Linked DNA regions of Lepisosteus oculatus. The protein of the gene in region 2 purifies or fractionates together with the protein of the main gene of each other region. This does not show direct contact. Links are inferred from orthologs where the notes say so. Each region holds a gene or a part of one and is shown on either strand. Other genes may lie near its edges.

The links.
Region 1: the proteins of cops4 (region 2) and cul4a purify together in Homo sapiens (affinity purification with mass spectrometry; 7 studies listed by BioGRID and IntAct, with this or other methods). This does not show direct contact. The link is inferred for Lepisosteus oculatus from reciprocal best matches to the Homo sapiens genes COPS4 and CUL4A.

Annotation. Positions count from the first base shown.
Region 1 is NC_090710.1:28,723,391-28,734,042, forward strand, and holds the start of cul4a (cullin-4A), read left to right. Parts: upstream 1-6,267; 5' UTR 6,268-7,040; coding exon 7,041-7,176; intron 7,177-9,725; coding exon 9,726-9,841; intron 9,842-10,652. Other genes in the region: pcid2 (PCI domain-containing protein 2), read right to left, coding at 1-9, 939-1,080, 1,179-1,254, 2,239-2,342, 2,586-2,640, 3,230-3,269, 3,813-3,880, 4,215-4,288 and 2 more. UniProt on the Homo sapiens protein: Core component of multiple cullin-RING-based E3 ubiquitin-protein ligase complexes which mediate the ubiquitination of target proteins. As a scaffold protein may contribute to catalysis through positioning of the substrate and the ubiquitin-conjugating enzyme.
Region 2 is NC_090698.1:27,533,844-27,544,536, reverse strand, and holds the start of cops4 (COP9 signalosome complex subunit 4), read right to left. Parts: upstream 5,375-10,693; 5' UTR 5,171-5,374; coding exon 5,097-5,170; intron 3,656-5,096; coding exon 3,576-3,655; intron 2,718-3,575; coding exon 2,566-2,717; intron 1,591-2,565; coding exon 1,487-1,590; intron 1,403-1,486; coding exon 1,249-1,402; intron 1,062-1,248; coding exon 911-1,061; intron 488-910; coding exon 317-487; intron 1-316. UniProt on the Homo sapiens protein: Component of the COP9 signalosome complex (CSN), a complex involved in various cellular and developmental processes.

The DNA.
Region 1 (10,652 bases), on a different chromosome or scaffold from region 2:
ACTCTTCCGCTAGGGGCAGTCAAAGACAAACGACCATCAGAAACCAAGCCTTCACAAAGCACCGGTGCACAAGCCTTAAAACCTGCAGGTCTCCTTGCTGTTTTTGGATGAGGAGCATCTTGGATTTAAAGCAACTCTTGAAATAGCCAAGAAATCCACAGGATTGTTCAAACTCAGGGCAGGGAGGTATGGAGAGGAGCTTAGTATGCAGGCATGTGTAGCCGCAGTGAAGCGCAATTATGAAAAAACATGGCCAGAAATTAAAAGATTTGTTAGCCAAAAACTGGTTAAGTGAAAGAAACATTCCCAGTAATGAAATAATTAGAAATGCGTGACCTGAGATGACAAATACATAAATTAATGATAATATATGAAGTCCATATAAAACACACAAACACAAATAAAATTCACATTTACGTAAAACACAAAATAAACAGACGTAATTAAAACAAACATACAGAATAAAGGGAAAAGGCCACAAAAAAGGAAGTGCAGCTCTTATAAACACTGAACGGTGATGATCGAATGTCTGGTTGGTGCTGATGGCTGATGCCGAGGTAGATAACCGAAGACAGTATGTGGGACAAGATACTTTGGGATAAAATGCACAGACAAAGGCTACAGTTAGACAACAATAGAGTACACAGACAGGGACTGCGAGGGATGGTGGCCAAGACTGGCAATATACTGTGCACATACAGTAGCTATGCATGGACTGTGCTGTCCCTGCAGTGACTGCGTAAAACAAGGATCTAATGTACATTAAACAGAGGTAACCGAGACCCACAAATGGAAAGAAATACTAGTCTGAAAAGGCAGCCGAGCAGCAGTCTCGTCTATTACTGTATTAAAAGCTGCAGAGAGGAGCCCCAGCGGTTGCGCTTGAAAAAGAGCCGCTTGACATCAGTTTAAATTCGCAAGTCTAGCCGGATCCACACCTTGTTTGAAATCGCTGTCAAACATGGCTTTCCTCCCGACGTAGTACTTGTAGGTGACTCTCTGGGCGATGCTGTACTCGTCTTTCAGGTTGGAGCTGTCGATGGCCCTGATCAGCGGCTTGCACAGGTGCAGCTTGTTGATCTGGAACACGGGCGACCGGAGAGCGATCAGGGCACCTCCCGCAGGGCACGCGCGCAGCTGCGGAGACGACAACGCCCACCGAAAGACATCGGCCTTACCTTGAAGTAGATCTTGAAAAGCTGGTTGATGAGAAACAGCATCCCCCACTTTTTGGAGTCGTCAATGCCAGCGCGGCTGAAAAACAACCCAGCGGTTGAAACCTCTTACTCTTCCCGGTCCTTCAAACAGAAAGTTGCACTCGGCTGTATCCTACGGCTCGCCGTTTCAAATCGACAACTAACCAGCGACAACGGTGCACCAAGTTCTGAAATCCTGGAGCAAACAGAGGCTACAGAAGCCAGGTCTTCATCAGATCACTGAAGCCTCACTGGATCGAAGAAGTTGCTTCGTTGGAATATTTGCATTTTGTTTCTAGTCACACGTTTGGGATTTTATTTCACTTACAAAATACAGGGTTAGTCAAAACGCTGCCGACAAGTATAAATGCCAATTATTTTACTAAAGTTTTTCCTCCTCCACGGGTGGCGAAGAATTGCAAGGTAACTGTTGGAAACTTTGTTATTCATGCTTTCGTTTGAAACCTTTTTTGTCACAGTAACCCAAGTCATTAACTTGTAATAAACCGTCAAGGTTGATGACAGCATTTTGGCTGACCCTGCACACCGGTTAAAGCTCCAACATGTGTAAGAGCTGGGAACAGACTGTTCACATTGGTCTTACTATGATGAAGTCAATGCAGGGTTTGACTGTGTAACTGCGGGCTCCACTGGAATAAAATCCAGCAGGTGTGAAAGTCACCAGGACCAGGACTTGGAACCGCTGCCCCTGGGTATCGGAAAAGGCTCAATTCTAGAGAGAATTCTAGAAAGAAAAGCTCCGAGACTGCACACCACTGCTATATGAAGTCTACTGTTCCCCCCCACACACAGCAGAAAAAAGAGCTACCAGAAGACAAAAACCCACAAATCAATAAGACACGTTCCTAGTTCTGGGGAGCTGCGTCAGCATGCGTGGGCTGCAAAGGAACGAGTAAAGGTCTATTCCGTGCCGAAAAAGGAAAGAGACAAAGCGCTTCGGCCGCGGAGCCTTCTTCAGGCGGGAGTCTGCTCTCCTTTTCAGCACGAAACGAGGAAACGACGCGCAGCGAGCGGGGCTTACTTGTCGCTGGCACAGATGCGGAAGCAGCTCATGAGCTGCTCGGCGGCCTTTTCCAGCATGTCCCCCACCTTGCCCTTGCCCTTCTTAGCCAGCTGCTGCTCCGCCTGGGGAAGGCACACACATTTTCTGCTCCCTGCGGGCGGACTGCGGCGCGAGATTTCCAGCCGAGAAGTCGCCCCCCCCTCCCCCGAGCACTCGATGCTGCTCTTGGCCCAGTGAACACCGCGGATAACACTTTCCTCACCTCTACTGCACTGCCCCACGGAAGAAGACTGCAAAGAGTGCTTTCACTGAACACCAGCTACGGTCACATCACGAAAGAACACATTTACAGTACAACCACTTACATTGTTGGCGAAGATGCGGAGGTCTAATCCCACTGCATACATTATTGGCAGGGCCCTGGAAAAAACAGGCTAAATAAGAGACCAAAGACTAAGGCCACAGAACTCAACGTAAGAGGGGGATTATGGCATCAGTTGAGTTCAGGTTAGGGTTACTACTACAATTACTGCTTGGTCTGGATCTCCAGAAAACAGAAATAATGGAGAGAAACTAGAAAAAGATGTAAGGAGCACATGAAGCCCAGCTCTGAGGCAGGAGAATGGAAACTGCCCATTCTGTCTCAGTGGACTCACAAGAGAAACCTTCCCATAAGAAAGCAATTATTTGTCCGTGGATTTACTTTACTGCATATCCTTACTTGCACACAAACGTGAGCACTGCACCAAACTTTGAAAACTGCATCATTCAAATAAACTCAAGAAGAACCGAATGATACTCATACCTGCTGATGATGTGAGCCCAAAGTTACAATCTTGAGTATGTTGAGTTTGAAAAATCTTTGGATCAGTTGTCTGATTTTACATTTTGGCAAGCAACTGATGATTCAAAAATGTTACAACAATAAGAATGTATTATTCAAATAATGCCGGCATCAAGACGTTTGTAAAATGTGTTAAATGTATAGATGAGATTTGCTAGGTCTTACCAGTTTTCTTCCTTGTGAGCCTGGAATGCTTTTAAAAATGATGTAAAACATTAAGGAAAAAGAAGCAGCTGTTAATATCCAGGATTAAAGTGCATATCACAAATATCACTGCACTATAAAAGTACAGATTTGACACTGTGTCTAAATCTTTTCGCTCAAATTCAATGCATTTCTGAAGAATATTTTTCTACTGTATCACACAGAACAGCCACATTCACAAAATGCAAGACATTTATCTCGAGCTGCCAAGTGAATTATACGGTAGCTCTTTGTTACTGCTATTTGGCCGTGACAATACCATAAAGAGGTTTTGACAACATCCCGTGGCTTAAAAAGAATTGTATTGATGCAGCTTTTCGGTATGAGGTTGCATCATTATTTTGATGATGCCACAATGCTTTTTGGGGGCTTTCTCTGATGCAAATGATAAACTAATTCAATCAATCCTTCAGCAAAGGATTAATGTACTTATTCTCAGTAAAGTTCTGTTCACTGATGTAAATAGCATTCAAATGGTCTAAGATTAATTCAAAAAGTTTGCAGGTATTTGAAAGGTACTGCAAACCATACTGTATTAAAGGATATTGGACCACTACTGTCTGGCACTTGTATGCTTCCACAAAGTCATGATTTGCTACAGCATATGTACACCTGGAATGAGAAAGAAAAGGACACAAGGTCTGGATTAACAGAAGGATTACAGCATCCTCAAGCAAATACTTAATTCTGTGCTACATTCCCACTGAAAGCAACTCCAAATCTGTTGTACTGACGTTGTTGGGCGTTATTTTGTGAATTTCAAAACTATTTGTTTCTGCATGACCAGCATAATTCAGAATAATGAACAGACTGCCTAAGCTTCTTTGACAACCCACCTCTTGGTCAGCTTTAATTTGACTATGTCACTGTGCAATTAGGCAGACCCTAGGATACTGTGGCACTTAGATACACCACAGTACCAGGGCCTTAAATCCTCCCGCCTTACCTCAGATGTGCTGCAACCATTTCATCATGGGGGGGTTCAAGGACCTGCTGGCACTTCTCCTCGGGGCTGGGGAGCTAAGAATCAAGAATTAGCACAGTGACACGTACAGTACCATCAGCCCACACAAGCCCCTGTATTTTGGCCTGTATAATTCAGAAGTTTCCCAAGTGCGTGAAGGGAGTTTTGATCTCTTTAGTAAGTTAAATATATGGCCAGCTGTGGCCCATGAGAATGCAGGGCAATTGAATTTCCATTTCAGCTGATCAGTGAAGTACTTAACAAAACCCAGCTTCAGCAGTCAATGCAAATGTGTTCCAGGCATTCAGAGATTGTCAGGATACCCCACAAAGCCCGCTGGACTGAGGCTCAACAGAACCAGGGTTGGCCTGTCCATGACACATGACGCACATACGGTATATGAACATAAAAGACCTGCAGTGTGTGCCACTACGAGAGGCCAAGATCATGCACATCATTGGGCAAGATCATCCTGAATCCTGCAGAGCACTATAGCCTCACCTTGGAGTCTTCCTATTAACCTATGTACAGTAAAATGCATTAACAGCCCCAGAGAGGGAAGAGAGAAACTGTTGCAACAAAACAATATATTAACGAGTTAATTTTAACGAGCACCTTAAAGGAATGGGCCACCTGGGACCCACCCCTGTCTTAGCTTGTACAGTACTCCAACTCTAACCTTAACCCAACTCTGAAGCTCAATGAACCCTTGCACCTCACTAGATCTACCCCAGTCCCTCACTCTGATTCACTCGGTGCTGCACACGCAGTCGTGTCACTGACATTGACTTGGCCAACGTGACCACTGAGCAGGTTGATGTTTCATCGCAGGTTCCTGGCAGCTGCGAGGGCCAGTACTGGGACAGTACAGAACATCCTACCTGAAGCCTGGGGTTGGCCACATGGGGGTGTTTGAATGACAAAAGCTCAGCACAGAATGCTCCGTCTCTGGTGTCGGTGGCTTCAAGTACCTGGCACGAAGGATGCAAAACTCATTTACAGCTCTCCTGCCATCCAGCCAGAAGAGGACACTGAAAGTCGAGGCAGAGTTATCTCACGATAAACACAAGTCTATCCTCATTCAAGCCTCATAACATATTTTTGAATAGCTGTAAGGTCGTAAATTACACAATACCTGCTGGAGGTACTGATTTATTGTTATGTGTGCCATTGAAGATATTCAAGCTGTTCTTTCCTGCGCTGATGTTGGTTCCGTGATGGAAAGCCTAATGAAAGAGGGAAAATAGTTTATTTTTTTTGTGAGACGACAAGCATGGACACATAATTATAACATCAACCAAAATTATTCACGAGATGCGTGATTTAAACGGATAGGAGGACACGGCTTCAAATACAAAAATCATCTTGTGGGTAAAATATGGATTACCCTAACGTTCTTCGCCATCCATATGTTTGCGTCTTTAACGCATGCTGCGTTTTCTTTCGCAGAACCAGGACTTTTTGCAAGTTTTTGGCACGACAACACAGTCATACCGTCAAGTCATTCAACGACGTTTGGAACCGTTGACGTTTCCAAAAAGAAAAAAAAAACCCCACCGGTAGCGATGCCTCCTCAGTTACACGGTCACTAGACGCGTTTTAATTTCAAGTTGGAGTACTCACTATTCGCATGAACACAACCCTGCACGTACTTTGCACTTCCAGTCCTATTTTTGTCTCGGCATCAGAGATGCTTCTCCGCGACGTGAACCGCTGCTGCACAGTCCTGCAGCGAGCAGGCAGGCGCGTAAGGTCATGCGCACGATCTGCTTCCTGTTGGCAGCGTCCATGACCGCGCTACCTGTTAAAGACACAGCATTCACAATTATACAGTAACTTTCAAACACTCTGATTGTGCCGTACAGCGCCGGGCGTTTTTTTTATTTTTAGTAAGGTGTATGCGAAGTCTAAAATGCATTCATGAAAGGTTCTGCTTGTGCTTAGGACGCCTTGCAAAATGCAAATGATGTGTGGTGACGGCGAATCTTAATGCTGTCATCCAGTGTGAATGGCTCAGATCACGTTTTTTTGCCTCAATATTGTCCGAGTTGGTGGCATCGCGTCCGTGTTCAGTATGCCCAATGAGTAAGTTATTCTAAGTCTTCTGAACGCGGTGTCCCCCCTTTTTAAAAGGACTGTAAGGATATAGCAGGAGCATTGCAAGATACGGAAAAACTGTTTCGGGGGGTTTTACAAGTCCAGACCTAAACTCTCTGGTGCAACTGTATCCCTTTAATTTCTTTTTGAACTACTGTCAAGTGCAGACTAGGAAAAAAAAATCCTCCCAAGATGCACTGGCTAGGAGGTGGAGAAAGAAGCCATTTTGTTGGTATTTGTTTTCCAAAGATGAAGCTGCTGAGATTGTTCAGTGGAGTTTATAGAGTGGAGTTTCCACATCCGTAAAGAACTGGCGATGGTATAATGACTAACTTTTTAGCGACAGAGAAGCAGGGAGTCGTGGATGTACCTGCCACAGACTGTAGATAGTTTTTGTCCTTTTTTTTTTTTTGCGCGTCGGTCAAGTGCAACGTACTTCTTGCTGCACCTATACGAGAATAAATTCATACTAACAGGTTCCAGGAGGCTCATGGCGAGGAAGTAATGTTGGAGGAGTACGTGACAAAAGCCCATTGTAGCGACCTGTCAAGGATCGGGCATTCGGGACACCGGACACATGCATGATATAACGGCAAGCCTAACAATTTTCCAAGAGACTTCCTCTAAGAGACACCATTACTCGGGCACTTTGCACCCAGTTCAGAGGAGGAAAGTCTTCGCTTGCGCTGTCCGTGCCCTCCATCTGTAACGATGGCAGAAGACATCCGCCACAGCACGAAGGCAAACTTCTCCGCGCTGGCCGAGCACACCAACGGCCTCACTAAAACTTCCACGCTCGCCTCCAAACCGGGGGCCTCCAAGAAACTAGTCATTAAAAACTTCAAAGGTAGGTCCGGCGGAGAAGGACGCGGGTCCGCAGGTTTGTCCGCAGCCAGGCTTGGCGACGGCTGGCAATTGGCACATGTGGGATAAACGGAATAAGCCCAGTTTTTTTTTAAAACAAAAAAAACGGTCTGGCTATAATGTATCCTTAAACATTTCTTTTGACAAAAAATAGTAAAAAATGTAGCCAACTACAGTAGGTTGGTTCTAAACGAGCTTGAGCTGTTCAGCGCTTCAGGATGACTTTAAATGCCCGGGATTGTAGTGGTTAACACTGGCGTGACTGAGCGTCGGTGAGGTGGTTGTTGTTTTTGTTTTTGTGTGTGTGTGTGTGGCCTTATTACATAACAGTTGGAAGTTAATTCCGTGCACATTCTAGAAAGGGTGCCGCAGAGGTCGCCATTCGTCCAGGCGGCACTCGTTATTTCCCAACTCGGCTTGAACTTCCTGGACGCCGTCCGGCGGAGCGGACCCGTCGCCCTCCTGCCTGCCGGGCTCGGGAAGGAGTCGCGGCTCTGAGCCCCCGCACCCGTCCCCGAAAACCGAGAAATCGTTGGTGTTTTTCCGCTCGTTTTACCTTCTTCACAAACCCGGCATGCCTCGCAGCCCGGGCTAAGAGCCACTGCACTAGAGAGGATGTTCGTGCAACGTTTACACATAGGGGGGTGTGTGTGAATTGCTCACATTTTCTTCTTCTTTTTCTTTATGTCCTCAATATACCCAATAATAGGGCCGTTTGTATTGAATGAGCGATGTAAACCTACACGAAGCTACACAGGTCAGAAGTTTCTCCAAATACATGAGCTTGTAGTGCGGTGCTGGACTCAGTGCAGCTACAGTACTGTACCTTATACCCAGCAACACCAGCACAATTAAGAGAGCACTTCTGTACATACATACACATGTATGGGCTACGGGCAGTCTTTTTTATTCCCTCCCAAAAGCTTCAATTCATATATTTTTTTCCGGAGACGAGAAACCAGACGGGTTCTTTTAATATTCGTTTGAGGCTTGAGGTCTTGAGGCTGGCCTGGATAAAACTCTGTTGGAAACATTTGACACCGTGTTGCGGTCAGTTTGCTGCCGACACGCTTTTCATCGCCTGCCCCCTTATAAACGTTACTGATTTAAGGACTGATACAAGGGATCCCTGGAAAATAATAATAGATACGGTAAAAGGTCTTGCCTTTCTGCATTTTTTGGTTTTTGTCAGTTAGTGACAAGTATTTTTGCACCCTCAACATCAGTGTTACTGATTTGTTACCGATTACTGAGCGCAGAGTCCCGCATTTGGTCAGGTGATGGATAACGAATTCTAGTTAATTAAGGACACGGGGGAAATACTGTAAGTTGTGTCCAGACGTTATGCAAATCCAGACAAACCTTACATGGACGAAGCTGGAATAACAAGTGTCCATTGAACCGGAATGCTACAAATGGAAAACGCAGAGGAAGGTGGAGATCCATTTTCCCGGCCGGTTCCTGCCCTGTTTTGAAGGCGAGGGGCCGGAGTGTCGGACGGTGCCTCGGGGTCCTGGCTCGCTTTCCTGCCGGTTATGGACACTTGGGGAAAGCAGCTTTGCACGCTGCAGAGCTGAAGCCGAAGAGGCACCCAGGTCGTGTCGCACCGTAAATGACTCTAGGGGATCATTGACGCGATTGACGGGCCAGTTCAGGCGGCGGCGTCTCCCTGTAGTAGTGGGGACTCCACACCTGCGTTTTTCTCGAAATGTCAGTTGCCTCTGTTCTTGTGTAAATACGTACTGTTTATTAGGCTCAGTTTCCTCTGAGAAAGTTAAATGATTAATACTCCGGCAACGCACCTCTGTTATAGTTCAGGTGGGTAGCTGCGTCAGCATGCGTAGACTGCGCATCTGTTATATAAACAAAACCAAAACAGATCCCCTCCGGAGTCCTTTAGCCTGTTGACTGTGGTTTCAGTGTGTCGCCAAGCTCCTCATACTGCTTCCGGGCATTTTCAGCTGATGGATGTTGTCGAAAGTGGGACGGAGTTAGTTATTGGCCTGGGAGTTACTGGTCAGGGGTCATTACCTGAGGATTATCTGGAAAGCCAACCAAAGTGGTTCACCTCTGAAGAATTGTTCCCCTGTGAATGAGTAGTGGCTGTAGCCCATTAAGGACTTGTTACTTCAACGTCCTCGTTCAGAATTGCTATCTAGGCTGGACAATAGAGTACAACTCTTGCAAAGAAGAACAAGATCTGCCAGTTAACGTATCTGAGTCTTGGAAGTCAGGGATAATCTTTTGATTGTTACAGGATGTTGAGTCCAAGCTGTTATCACGTTGATTATCAGGGTACATCCAGGATGTCAACACAAACCTGTTCCTAGCCCTGAGAGCCTGTGAGTCTACAGCATATTGTGGGAAAAAAATGTGAGCAGGCTATAGAAATACACAAATTCTGTAAATCACCAGTTCTGAAATGAGGCTTATTTACTGACACTTTTTTTGGTCATTTCACAGTAGCACTCCGAACTCTGGTACTCAGTGATTTAATGGGTGTTCTGATTTAATTTAGTATTGTGTTTTCAGATAGACCAAAGCTCTCAGAAACCTACACTCAGGAAACATGGCTGAAACTTCAGGAAGCTGTCGGAGCCATACAGAACAGCACTTCCATTAAGTACAACCTCGAGGAGCTCTATCAGGTAAGCCTGTCGTCTTCATATCCTGAGCATAAAAAGATGAGCATGTATGATTTTACATTAAGCATGTATGAGTGACATTAAATATTGATTAAATGTTTTTCTTGTCATTTTGATTAGTCAGACTGTGGTGCGCTTGACTGTTGTATAAGCCCTAAATCACCTCATTGGTGAGTGTTGATTGAGCACAGGAGATACAGGTTAAAATTGAGAAAAACACAAGAAGGAACGTCTATGCCCTGCTTTATCAAGGGAAGAGTGCCTTTTCTCATCTTTATGTTGGAGACTGGGCTAAGTCAGTTCAGGAGGACTGAGCAACAGTGAGTTTGCAAATGTTTGCATACATCCGAATAGGTGATTGTGAAGCCCAAGCTTTAAGGTCTTAGCAGGAGTGTCGCATCGGTACTGAAGTGCATTTGACTGATGGCGACCTGACTGCGTGGCACCGTGTTGAATCTCTCCGGTTGCCCATCCTGACATGACAACATTCCAGCAGGACAGTGCACATCCTCATGCTTCCTGTGAGGTGAACATGTGACAGCCATACCGTGGATACCCTTCACAGCAGGCTTGAGCCCCAGGGTTGAACTAGGACCATGTGTGACATCTAGCGCTAAACGACCAGTCGGCAGGTGAAGATTTCTTCCAGAATCTGCTGTAATGGAGTCCCACAAGACCGCATCTGTGACCTGGTGCAGCTCATAAATGTGCCTTTTACCTGACTAATGAAATGCATTCGTGAAAAACCAAATCAGCCTCTTAGAATTGGTAGGCTTGGGAAAGCACTTGTAAGTGTGGTATTCCTGTAGGTGAG
Region 2 (10,693 bases):
CAGACACAAACACACTGGCTTCTGAGAAAATTGGCTCTAGGTATCAATTCACCTAAAAATATGTTTGGCGTGTAGGAGGAAACTGGAGTACCCAGAGGACACAGGGAGATCATACAAACTCCACACAGATAGCACCCTAGGTCCAGAATTTAACTCAACTGAACCCAGCGGTGCGAGGCAGCAATGCTAACCACTGCACGATTGGCAATCGTAAGATATTTACTATCTTTGAAAACACAGAAAAGAACATCAGCTTAATACTGGTGCAAAGTGTAGTCGGTTTTAATGGCGAGCATTAGTCAGAACGAGTGCTGACCGTCGGCTGTAGTAGCTTTCTGATGAGGCATCAACATGGCAGCGAACTCCTGTAGCTGGTTCCCCCGAATTATCCTGTCCAGGTACATCTTCTCCAGTATGCCGTACGCTGCAAGTTGCTGACAGCGCTCGTCCTTAAACAGCGTGGCCAGCATACGGGAGCGCTGCTGTCCTAGAAGAGGGGAGACAGAGTCATGCCCTCCGACAGCCCAGCACCCACCACTGCTATAAAAAGCTGTTTTAAATTGCAGGGCTTGAAACACTTAGAAAAACTACCTAAAATAAACCTAAATTCATATACTGTTTAACTCCCTACAAGGCAACTCAATAGCAATGAAAGTAGCATTCTTTCAAGCTTAAACTTTCATTTTTCATTCTGTATCTGAACAGTTATGAAATCATTACCAAAAGTAATTTTTTTTAACAAAGTTCGCAAACATGGAGGTTATATTACTTGCACAAATACTGGAAATAGAAGTAGTCTGGAAACAGATTCGCGCACTAATGCCAATACTCTCACTGTCAATTCAGACAGAATTAATCACATACTTTGCAGTGGTACAGCTTGTGAAAGCAGAAATCAGTGGTATAATACCTGCGGATGCCAGAATGGTGCAGTGGAGAGCGTGCTTGAGGGCCTCTAGCCGTTCACTCTCATGTACGATAGATTTGTACGACAGCTCATTGTATCTCTGTGCTGCCTCTATGAACTTTCTCCTGTAGTCCAGAACTCTGGCATAGCAGACCTGAGACGATGGGTGAGAGCAGAGACCAGTTACTGGGATACCTATGAAAAAAGGTTCACTCCGTGTGAAGGATTTATGACTCATGACTTCTCTTGAAATCCAAAACAATAACAAAACACCATCATCATGACTAAAAGCCACTAGAAACAAACTCCCATTCATCAACAGGTTGGGAAAAGGGAGCTACCTTGTAGTGGATCTGCAGCTGTTCATTAGTGGACTCATTCTGGAGAAGAGAGGCGCGGTTGATGTAAGCTTCTGCCTGTACCGGGTCGTCATCCTCTAGATACAGACGAGCGATCTTGAGGTATGTGTCTAGCTTGTAATCTACATTGTACTGCCTGGGAAACAGACAAAAAGAGTAGTGATCATTTCACCAGTCCGGCACAGCAGAACTCAGTAAAGTAACTGAAGACCCCACTTACTTCTGTCCCGTCTCCAAAGGAATTCCAACTAGGACTTGAGCAGCATTCCTCCAGTCCTCTTCTTTCTCGTAAATTGTTGCCAGGTGTTGCCGGATAGATGCCACCTATCAACACATTAAATCAAAGAAGGAATAGACTTAGACCTTAGAAATGGGTTTCTATGGTCTGCCGTTCATCACTTTAAGACCAAAACCTCGGCTGTCGCTTGCATGTATTCATCGTATCATGTGAGTAACAAGAAGTGTAAAAAGCACTTGCTGCAAGAGGTGAGTCTGGAGAACAGACTCACTATGAAAGAGAAATAGTTCCACCACTCAAACAAATCAATAAATACAGCAGCATAATCGGATTTTGCATAACATCACATTCATGCACAGATCGGATACGTGATTAAAAAGTTAAGACAATCAATGTGAGAACACTACTTAGCCATTGAAATTTGAGCCAGCACCTTCACTATGGTTTGGCAAGAGACCAAAAGACAGACTTCTCAGGTATACTGAGTTCAACTACAACTTTTTAAGACATGTATTATAGTATTTAAGGCCACGACAGTGGTGAGGAAGGTAGCACTGCTGCCTCACAGCTCTTATCTCCTCCAGGGTTCGATTCCTGACTGGGAGATCCTTTGGGTGGAGTTGGCATGCTTCTCTCACTTCCAGTTAGGCTTTCTCTGGGTGCACGTTTCCTCCCTCCTTCCAAAGCCATGCTGGCTAAGCCAACGAGCGTCTCTAAATTGTTCTTGTGTAAGTCCCCTGCGCTGGTGACCCGTGTATTTTCATCTGGTACCCTACAATCCAGGACAGGCTCCCTGTTGCTACAACCTCAGCAAGGATAAACAACTGACAACAAATGGGTGGATTAATAGATTTGTGAAGAAAGCATGTTGTTTAATTCCTTTTGCAACTTAATAAAAGATGTACCCTTTCCAAGAATTAAAAGAGAAGGTTGAACGTCAATGTCACAACACCAGAGCACCTCAATAGTATAACAGGGGACCTGTAGCTACCATAGACAGTAGGGCGAAGGCAGTGCCCACATATGGTGCCAGAAATTTTTAAGAAGAGATATGCACCCACCTGCTCTTCAAAGGAGATGACCCTAGGCTGGATTTTGTCTAGCGTGAAGTGGTACACCTCCTTAGCTGTGCTGTCTGGGAGGTTGGGGAGGTGAGTGCAGAAATCTGTAAGCAGCTGCCTGGAGATCACCAAGCTGACATTCTCATTAACCACTGGGGAAGAGAGAGAAGACCCGGTACAGTGACACATACCCTACCGACACGAACATTTCACTCAGCACAAGAAGTGCTGACGTGTTACATTGCACGAGAAGGGACTATTATTTTTTTTTAAAACCCAAAATGACCATTTCAGATCAAAGACTACTTAGATCCACCTCTTACAAGAACAAAAGAAAAAAAAAGCTGCTTGAAAGATAACAACAAATGGCTTTCCTGTACTTTTGCTATAATCTGGACGGAGAAATTTACACAAAACTGTATTTTAAGAAGAAATACAGTCCCAGTTTCTCAGACCGGGTTATTAAATCTTCATAACAAAATAAATTCATTGACGTTACAGAAAAAATTACAAATTTCAAATGAAGCACAAAATCCTGAACTTTGTGAAAGTAATGCAAGTCGCCATGTTGTCGCAAACACAAACTGCGATGTGATGCAGCCCTTCCTGCTCATGTAATGTGATGAATACACAAATAAGTACAGGTTGTGCAGCAGACATTTCACAACAGGAATGTTCCAACGTGATATGCATGCAGAGTTAAGCAGCATTTGTTGGCAAAACAGTCTAAATCGAGAGCAATATTTCTATTGGATTAACTTGTGGCTATTTTGTGATGTAAATTAGAGGTTTTACAAGCTACTGTGTTCATTTTTCTTTAATTGTGGTTTGAAATGCACTCTTCAATGCTGATTCCTTCTAACCCCGAAATATAAAAATAGCATTGCAGCTCCCCTTTAACACACACATAGCTTAAGTTCAGCTTCTAATATTTCAAAGCAATATAAACCCCACTTCACACATTCCTAACTGAATGGGACGACAAAAGCAAATTCTGCAGCAGTACTTACTGGCTTCAACAAATGCCTTCAAAGCCTCCAGCTGCTCAGCACCAGTAAATTGAATGGCCTTTTCAAGTATCTGTCGGTACCTGTAATAAGAAATTGTTTGTAAGTCAGTAGCACTGGTGTGGCAAAACTTATTCCACAGGTACTTCCAGAGCATAATTGCGATCACTGCAGTGTTTGCTCCAGGACACAATTCACACCATCTTTTCCTAAGAAGTTTTGACATTAAAAAAGTAAACACCTAATCAGAGACAAAATATGTAAAATATAAATCAAACAAACGTTTCAATAAAAGCTTCAATAAAAGTCTGAACATTTTCCAGCTACATTAAAGGAAATACTCACATTTTTCAGTCAACCGTTCACTTGAGGAACATTGTTACAGCCAAGACAAACTATTCCATATGTATCTGTCTACATACCCAGGGGATAAAATGGGATTCACTCATTCGTGAAATTAAACAGCAGGCTGAATAACTCCCATTGCACTAAAACATTATGACTTTATCCAAATGCTATTTTTAAAAACAAGATCAGAATAGACTTGCCTAACAAAAGGAAAGCAACTGGACAATGTTATATACTCGTCTCCAATCCAGGAGCCTCAATCCAGTAAACCTAATTAGGCACAACATAAGGGAACACTTGCATGTTACTGATCAAGTAAGAAAGTCAATTAAAAGCTCAATTAAGGTAGTGCTGACATTTGCAGTTCCAAATTATTTATTTATTTAATACTGTATAATATCCTAGAATTGATAATAATTCTAAGTGTTTGAAAAAATTGAAGATCAACATGTTATATAAAGCCTTCTGGATAGGAAGTCTCCAAGAATATAGCTGGCAATGCTTTTAATATAAAGCAAACTAAAAATTCCTCATGCTCTCGAGGCATGTTTGTGCACAATCAGTTGGTCTTTGTTATGGAAGTAAAAACAGTTGGATGATGAATCATTTTCATGTGTTTTGCAATTTTGTTAACCCTGTTAGCATCTAATTGTATTTCATAGCGCCACTTCATCAATAAACCTAACTATCGGGCCTAAAATACATGATTTTGGTAAATTATTCGCAGTGTAGAAATGTATCTATCCACAAATCTTGAATATTGCTCAAGCCGGTTAACTATCGGACGTTGAAATATAACTTATTCACGGCGTCTTCAAGGAGCTGATCAGTCTAAGGTCTCCTCATTCAAAAGCAATTTTAAATAATGTTTACGCACCGTAAATTATATCACGAAAGAACCATTATATACATAATATTATTATTAAGTATATAACTCTTATCAACAAAAAGCTTAACCTTGTAACTTCCGATTCAATTTATACATCTAAAATGGTTTTACCAAAAAAAAACATCTAGGTGAAAACCCCACTCATTCATGACACTGCGATTGTCACATCACTAGCCGGTACCCAGAACCGCTTTACTCAAAATGCTGGAGTTAATGGGAGGCCTAGGATACCGTCCTCTTCTCTGAAAAGATGTGCTCTTTCAGTTTTTAAATTTTGTTTTACTTACTTTCCAGCAAGATCTTTGTGAGATCCGCTGGAGTTCATGAGCTGAGCCAATTCCTGTCGGACAGCCGCCGCCATCTTCTCGCCCCGAAACACCAACAACGACTCTTTTCTGCAGAGGCTGCAAGAGGGAGTATTCTTTCCAACCAGAAACAAACCTAACGGCTGCCGGATTGCAACGCCTCGGTCCTCCAAGCGGACGAAGAAGGCGCCGAATCTGTCAAAACACAACCAGGAGACCAAACTCGCTCTTGCGGCTACGTCACTTAACCGCGCAAGACACGTGTCGTCATTATGGCGCGCATCCAAAGACCTGCAAAATACTACTCCAAAATAAAAGCCAAGTAATCAAAAAGTTTTCGAATACGCTGAAATGAAATTATGTGTTCAAAAATGTTGTTTGTTTGTATATATATATACTTAAATAGCTGTTTAAAAAATACAATAACAAATGGGCCTACTAATTCGGTTAACATAAAAACATGCTGTTTAATTATGTATTACGTCCTGAAATTTTAGAACTTTATTTAAAAAGATGGACATTTTGAACTTTGTCCTTTATTTTTACATGATGTTAGTTCACCAGCAGTGCACATTTTTAACTGGTGTTTTTAACAAAAATGTTTTATTAAAAAAACTAATGTTTTATTGAACATTAATGCAAAGGAGAAACAATATCTAAAAAGTAAACGAAAAACACAGAACTATGTTGCTAAATAAGTTAACATTTTTACATAAATCGGTTATACTTTTTGCCTTGCTATTTTTAATTGTTTTGATTGAGTTTAAATAACACTGCATTTCCACATTATCTGCATTAAATCAGAGTTTCATTGTACCACTTTGATTTGTAGATGTGATACCCAGTCAGTAGTGATAACAGATTAATTATACACTTTTTATATTTAATCTTGTAAAGTATAGCATAATATCAAACTTCTTAAATTTTAGCTGCAGTGCACTTTTTAATATTAAAAAGTGGGAATGACGAAAGAAGAAGGGAGTGGGGATGGGAGGGGGGTGTCTGCACGTCGTGCGTGCAGTGACGAAAGACGCAATGCGTGGTTTCCAAGGAGGGCGCGGCAGTATTATGGGATGGTGGAGGTGGAATGGCGCTCGGCGCGTGATTTTGAACAAACGTCTCCGTGTGTCGGCGGTCTGGATGCAGCAGCGCAAAGCCGGGCTCGGCTGGGGTTGTGTTGAAAAGATACAAGAAGGCGCCGACAGCAATCACAGCTGGACACGGAGCGCATCGGGGATCTCCAGTAAGACTTGCTCGGGGCAAGCAAACACATCCCAAACCGAGAGGGACGGCTGAGGCATTATAAGCACCAGCTTCCACTGACTATTGTAAATAGCATCCAGGCACGGAGCCCGATTTCGTGTCTCCGCAACAAGAGAACGTCCTGGCCTGACAAAATGTCTCCACTTAGGCTGTCAGATCGGAACGGATGCTCGTCGTGAAGTCCATGAAATCGGTCATCGTTGTTTATTCTTAGCTACATAGGTCTTTTTCCTGATTATTTTCACTAAACAACACCTGCCCCCGGACCCAGGAGAGAGTGCGAGAGAAGCGCTAAAGAGATGTCGATGACAGCCAAGCCCATAGGTCACCTACAACCCTCATTTATTTGGTAGTACAATAATCCGTCTGATTTTGCGTTTCTTGTGACTCCTGTGTCCCATGTACACGCGTTTTCACCCTGGAATGCGTTTTATTTTAAAGAACCTGTAGAAAATCGCTGAATCAAGGGATTTGTTCACGAACAAGGGGTAGGTATCCATTTTCCTCAGTTGTTACAGATTGTCATCCTCAACGATTGACAGCTTAGTGGTAAATTCAGGACGTATTGGACGCCGATGTAGGAATACGGTTTTATTTGATCTATGCAGATCTGTCTCCTAACCGCTTTTAATCTTGTATTATATAACTTTATATACCTTTTGACAGTTTTAGTTCCAACGATCCCTTTTGTACTTCCTACAAAATCACATCACTGAAGTGATCAAACCATAATTTTGTAACAGGTTTTTAAACATAGCTTTTAGATGACTACTTCTTGTCATGCATGTATTGGTTTTAAACAACGCTGTTTTGTCTGAACTGGAACTTTTGTTATATTTAGGAATTTCGCGTTCTGTGATTGAATTGTATAACCACTATAATACGAGGCACTGTTATTGCAAACTTTATTTGAAAGTCATCTGAACCGAAATATATTGCAGCTCGTTTGATATATAACTGTGTGTTTGCCAGCCTATTTTCAACAACGTTTTGCTTTAAAATGAGCAGAAAGCCCAGGCTGCTCTCGCGTGCGGGGACTGGGCTCTGCGGTGCGGCTCTGCGTGTTTTTGTTGATCTTCCTGTTCAGGAGAAGCCTGTGGAGTTTTTAAGTTGTGAACTTTACATTATTTCGTATCATCCAGGAAATGCACAGCTACGTGCTGTTTACGGAGCACTTAGTTTGCTTCTCTTGAACCGGGATCTGGGGGCGTCCCCCCCTTCCCCTTCTCTGCCTTTTATTTTCGTTTCGTCTTGTTTTCGTGGGGCTGGCGATGTTGGTTCTTTCCTGTGAAGTTGCACTGATGACGAGGTGAAAATGGCGGATCTTTCGAAATCCAATCCCGGCCTGAAATAGAAACATCATAACATTCACAGCAGGCAAACTGTCAAGTCAGATTTTTAACACAGAGCGAGAAGCCAAGGAATCGTTCGTTTAAACAAACTGCCTTCCGGGAAGTGTAAAAAATGAAGAGCGAGTCTGCGTCTCCTTTTTTATTTAGACCCGCCGGTATTAATTTGGCGGATTGTTGAGGTAGGACAAAGATTATTTTTTGATCTTCAAAGGCCTAGCTGCTGTCTCTCTGGACGGTTCATTTGTTAGATGTTTTTTGAAAAAGTTTTATTTTAGGCTGCCCAGGCATACGTCTCGCGTTTAGCAGTTGTCAGCTAAGTGTGAATGTGACCCTTTTGGCCAGCACAGCAGAAGTTCGTTTTCTCTCCAGCTTCATTAATAATACAGGTAGACAAGGCTCTTATTATTTTTCTGTGCGGCTTGAAGTTGATCGTTGCAGTGTTTAGGAGACCGGTGTTTTTTAAAGATCTCTGGCTGAAAACCCTTAATTACGATGACATTTTTCCGAATAAAACCAGTCTCTTCCTCTTTGTTTGTATAGCTTTTGCGACAAGATGACTGTCCTTTTCTAGCAATGGGTGTTATCTGTATCCCGTAGAGCAAGACGATCTCTTGTGTAATTCCGAGACCCCTTGATAAGTATTGGCGATTAAAGCCTACGTAGCATAAAATAATTGTAGAGTTAGTTGGTCTGTTCTGGCGCTAGGTTTAAGAGTGACTTTCCTAAAGCGCCTGTCACTCTTCAGGAGTGAAACACAATCGCTTTCTTGCCGTCTTGTCAGCTGGACTCGTCGCTTGCACACCTACTTAAGACAGGTCTCTTCCGCAGAAATGGGAAGCTTGCATTGATGAATTCTTCTCTTTGGCGAAAGGTTCCCTGAAACGGATTTATTCCATCAGTAAAAATACTGCCTGTGCAGTAACTGCACAAAATTAACTTTTTTCGAAAGGTCTTCGTTCATATGATTAAGATTTGGAGTGAAAAGATAGCACAAGAGAAGGAAGTTAACTGGATTTGGCTAGGAACAATAATATTTGAATGTGAGCAAAATATACAACAAAAAACGTGTTGTACCAATGTTTTTTTTTTGTAAAAAAGGAGATTCACTAAGGAAGTTACTTTTGGTTAAAATAACCCACCTCCCTCTGCAGCCTGAGTGGAGAAAAGGGGCTGGAGTAAATCAAAATTTGAACCACCAGCCCATCCTGAAGTCTGCAAAACGTAATGGTGGTTTTCCTTTGAGCTGGAACAAGGTGCCCTTTGGCAAACCGCTTCATTGGAGCATAAGAAACGTTACAGATTAGGCCCATTTAGTACGGCGTGGTCGTTACTCATCAAGCAACATGTATCGTTTTCCGATTGCAGTAAAATTAAAGTTTGGATTTGACTCTTGGTCTAAGAGTAGTAAGTACTGCACAAAAAAACGGAACAGAAACAGGTAAGGCAGGAAACCAGATTTTGAAGCACCACCTTTGCTTTTAATGAGAGATGTCAGCAGCTTCAGACCTGCTTGGGCCACTGCGTGCGTATGACAAACCCACCAAAGTGGCAGAAACTTTTCCACAGTCAACCAAGGAGGGCTTAGCGATATTTTTAGATTTGTCCAACATTTGTTGAGCTCATTTTTATAGGTTTGTCAAGCTGCCCTGCAGTGGCAGATGGACTGAGTTGATTGCAGTTGGTGCATTCGGTGGAAGCAAGGTTATAACTCGAGGCCTCTGGGCCTCAGCAGACAAGAGGCTTATTGAAATTTTAATATGGAAGAGGAAAACGCAGAAGAGCAGGTGGGAGGTTTATTTTCTAGGTGCCCTATAAGAGCGGATTTAAAAACTCTGCATGTCTCGGTATTTAATCCAGTCTCCTGCTTCAGCCGTAACAAGCAAGAATATACAATATAGGTCACAAAAGAGAGGAGGCCAGATGGCCCGTCTGTGCGGTTTGGTAGTTAGTGATCCAAGGATTTCATCCAGCTGTTTTTTGACAGCTGTTTTTCATTGGCTTCAACCACTTGTGGATGGCTTTGGCCATACTCTTACAACCTTTTGTGTAAAGAAGAGCCTCCTGTTGCTGGTTTTAAATGCATTTCCACATGGTTTCCAGTAGTGTTTAAATTGTACCCTTTTGACTATATATCCTACCTTTTTTGTTGCTTACCCTCGGTTCTCTTGAAGATGGAAATGATGTGTTGATATAAATGCCTTTCTTTTTCCATAAGTAGTTTCTTAAAGCTAGGTTTTTCCCCATTTTGTACGCATAGTTTTTACTATCTGCATGAAACACCTTCATGTGTCTACATCTAATATCACATTTGTGGCAGTAAAACTACAGGAGCTACAATGACCTATGTGGCTGGTATTACGGCACTAGTTTCAACATGTACTGCTGGTAACAAATAGTATCTGCATGTACAGCTGCTCAGAACAAAGTTTGTTTTCCAGTTTTTATCCAAGCATTTCCCTTTTCATGTTATTTCAGTGAAACCATGTTTTAATGTGATTGTCACTAAGTGGATGTGACAGGCTCGTTTCTCTATGTGCGCATCTCTCTAACATGAACAAACCTTGCCTTTCAGCACCTTCAGTGAGCTTAATTAAAACTACGTACTTTTTTCCTTTTATTGTCATATATTCATGGTGCATTCTTTCACTAATTTCCAGCATGAATATGAAAACGGGTGGCACAGAGATGCAGTGTTAGCTTTGCTTCCTCATAGCACTGGAGTCCTGGGCTTAGTTTCGGACCTGGGGTGCTATCTGTGTGGAGTTTGTATGTTCTCCCTGTGTTTGTGTGGGTTTCACGAGGGTGCTCTGGTTTCCTCCCACGGTCGAAAGACATAGAGGTAGATTAATTGGCATCGCAAGGCACACTCTTACCAGGGACCATTTTCCCCCAAACCAGAGTGCATCCTGCCTCATTCCCTTTGCTTGAAGGAATAGTCACAGGCTCCCCCTTGACCCTGAATTG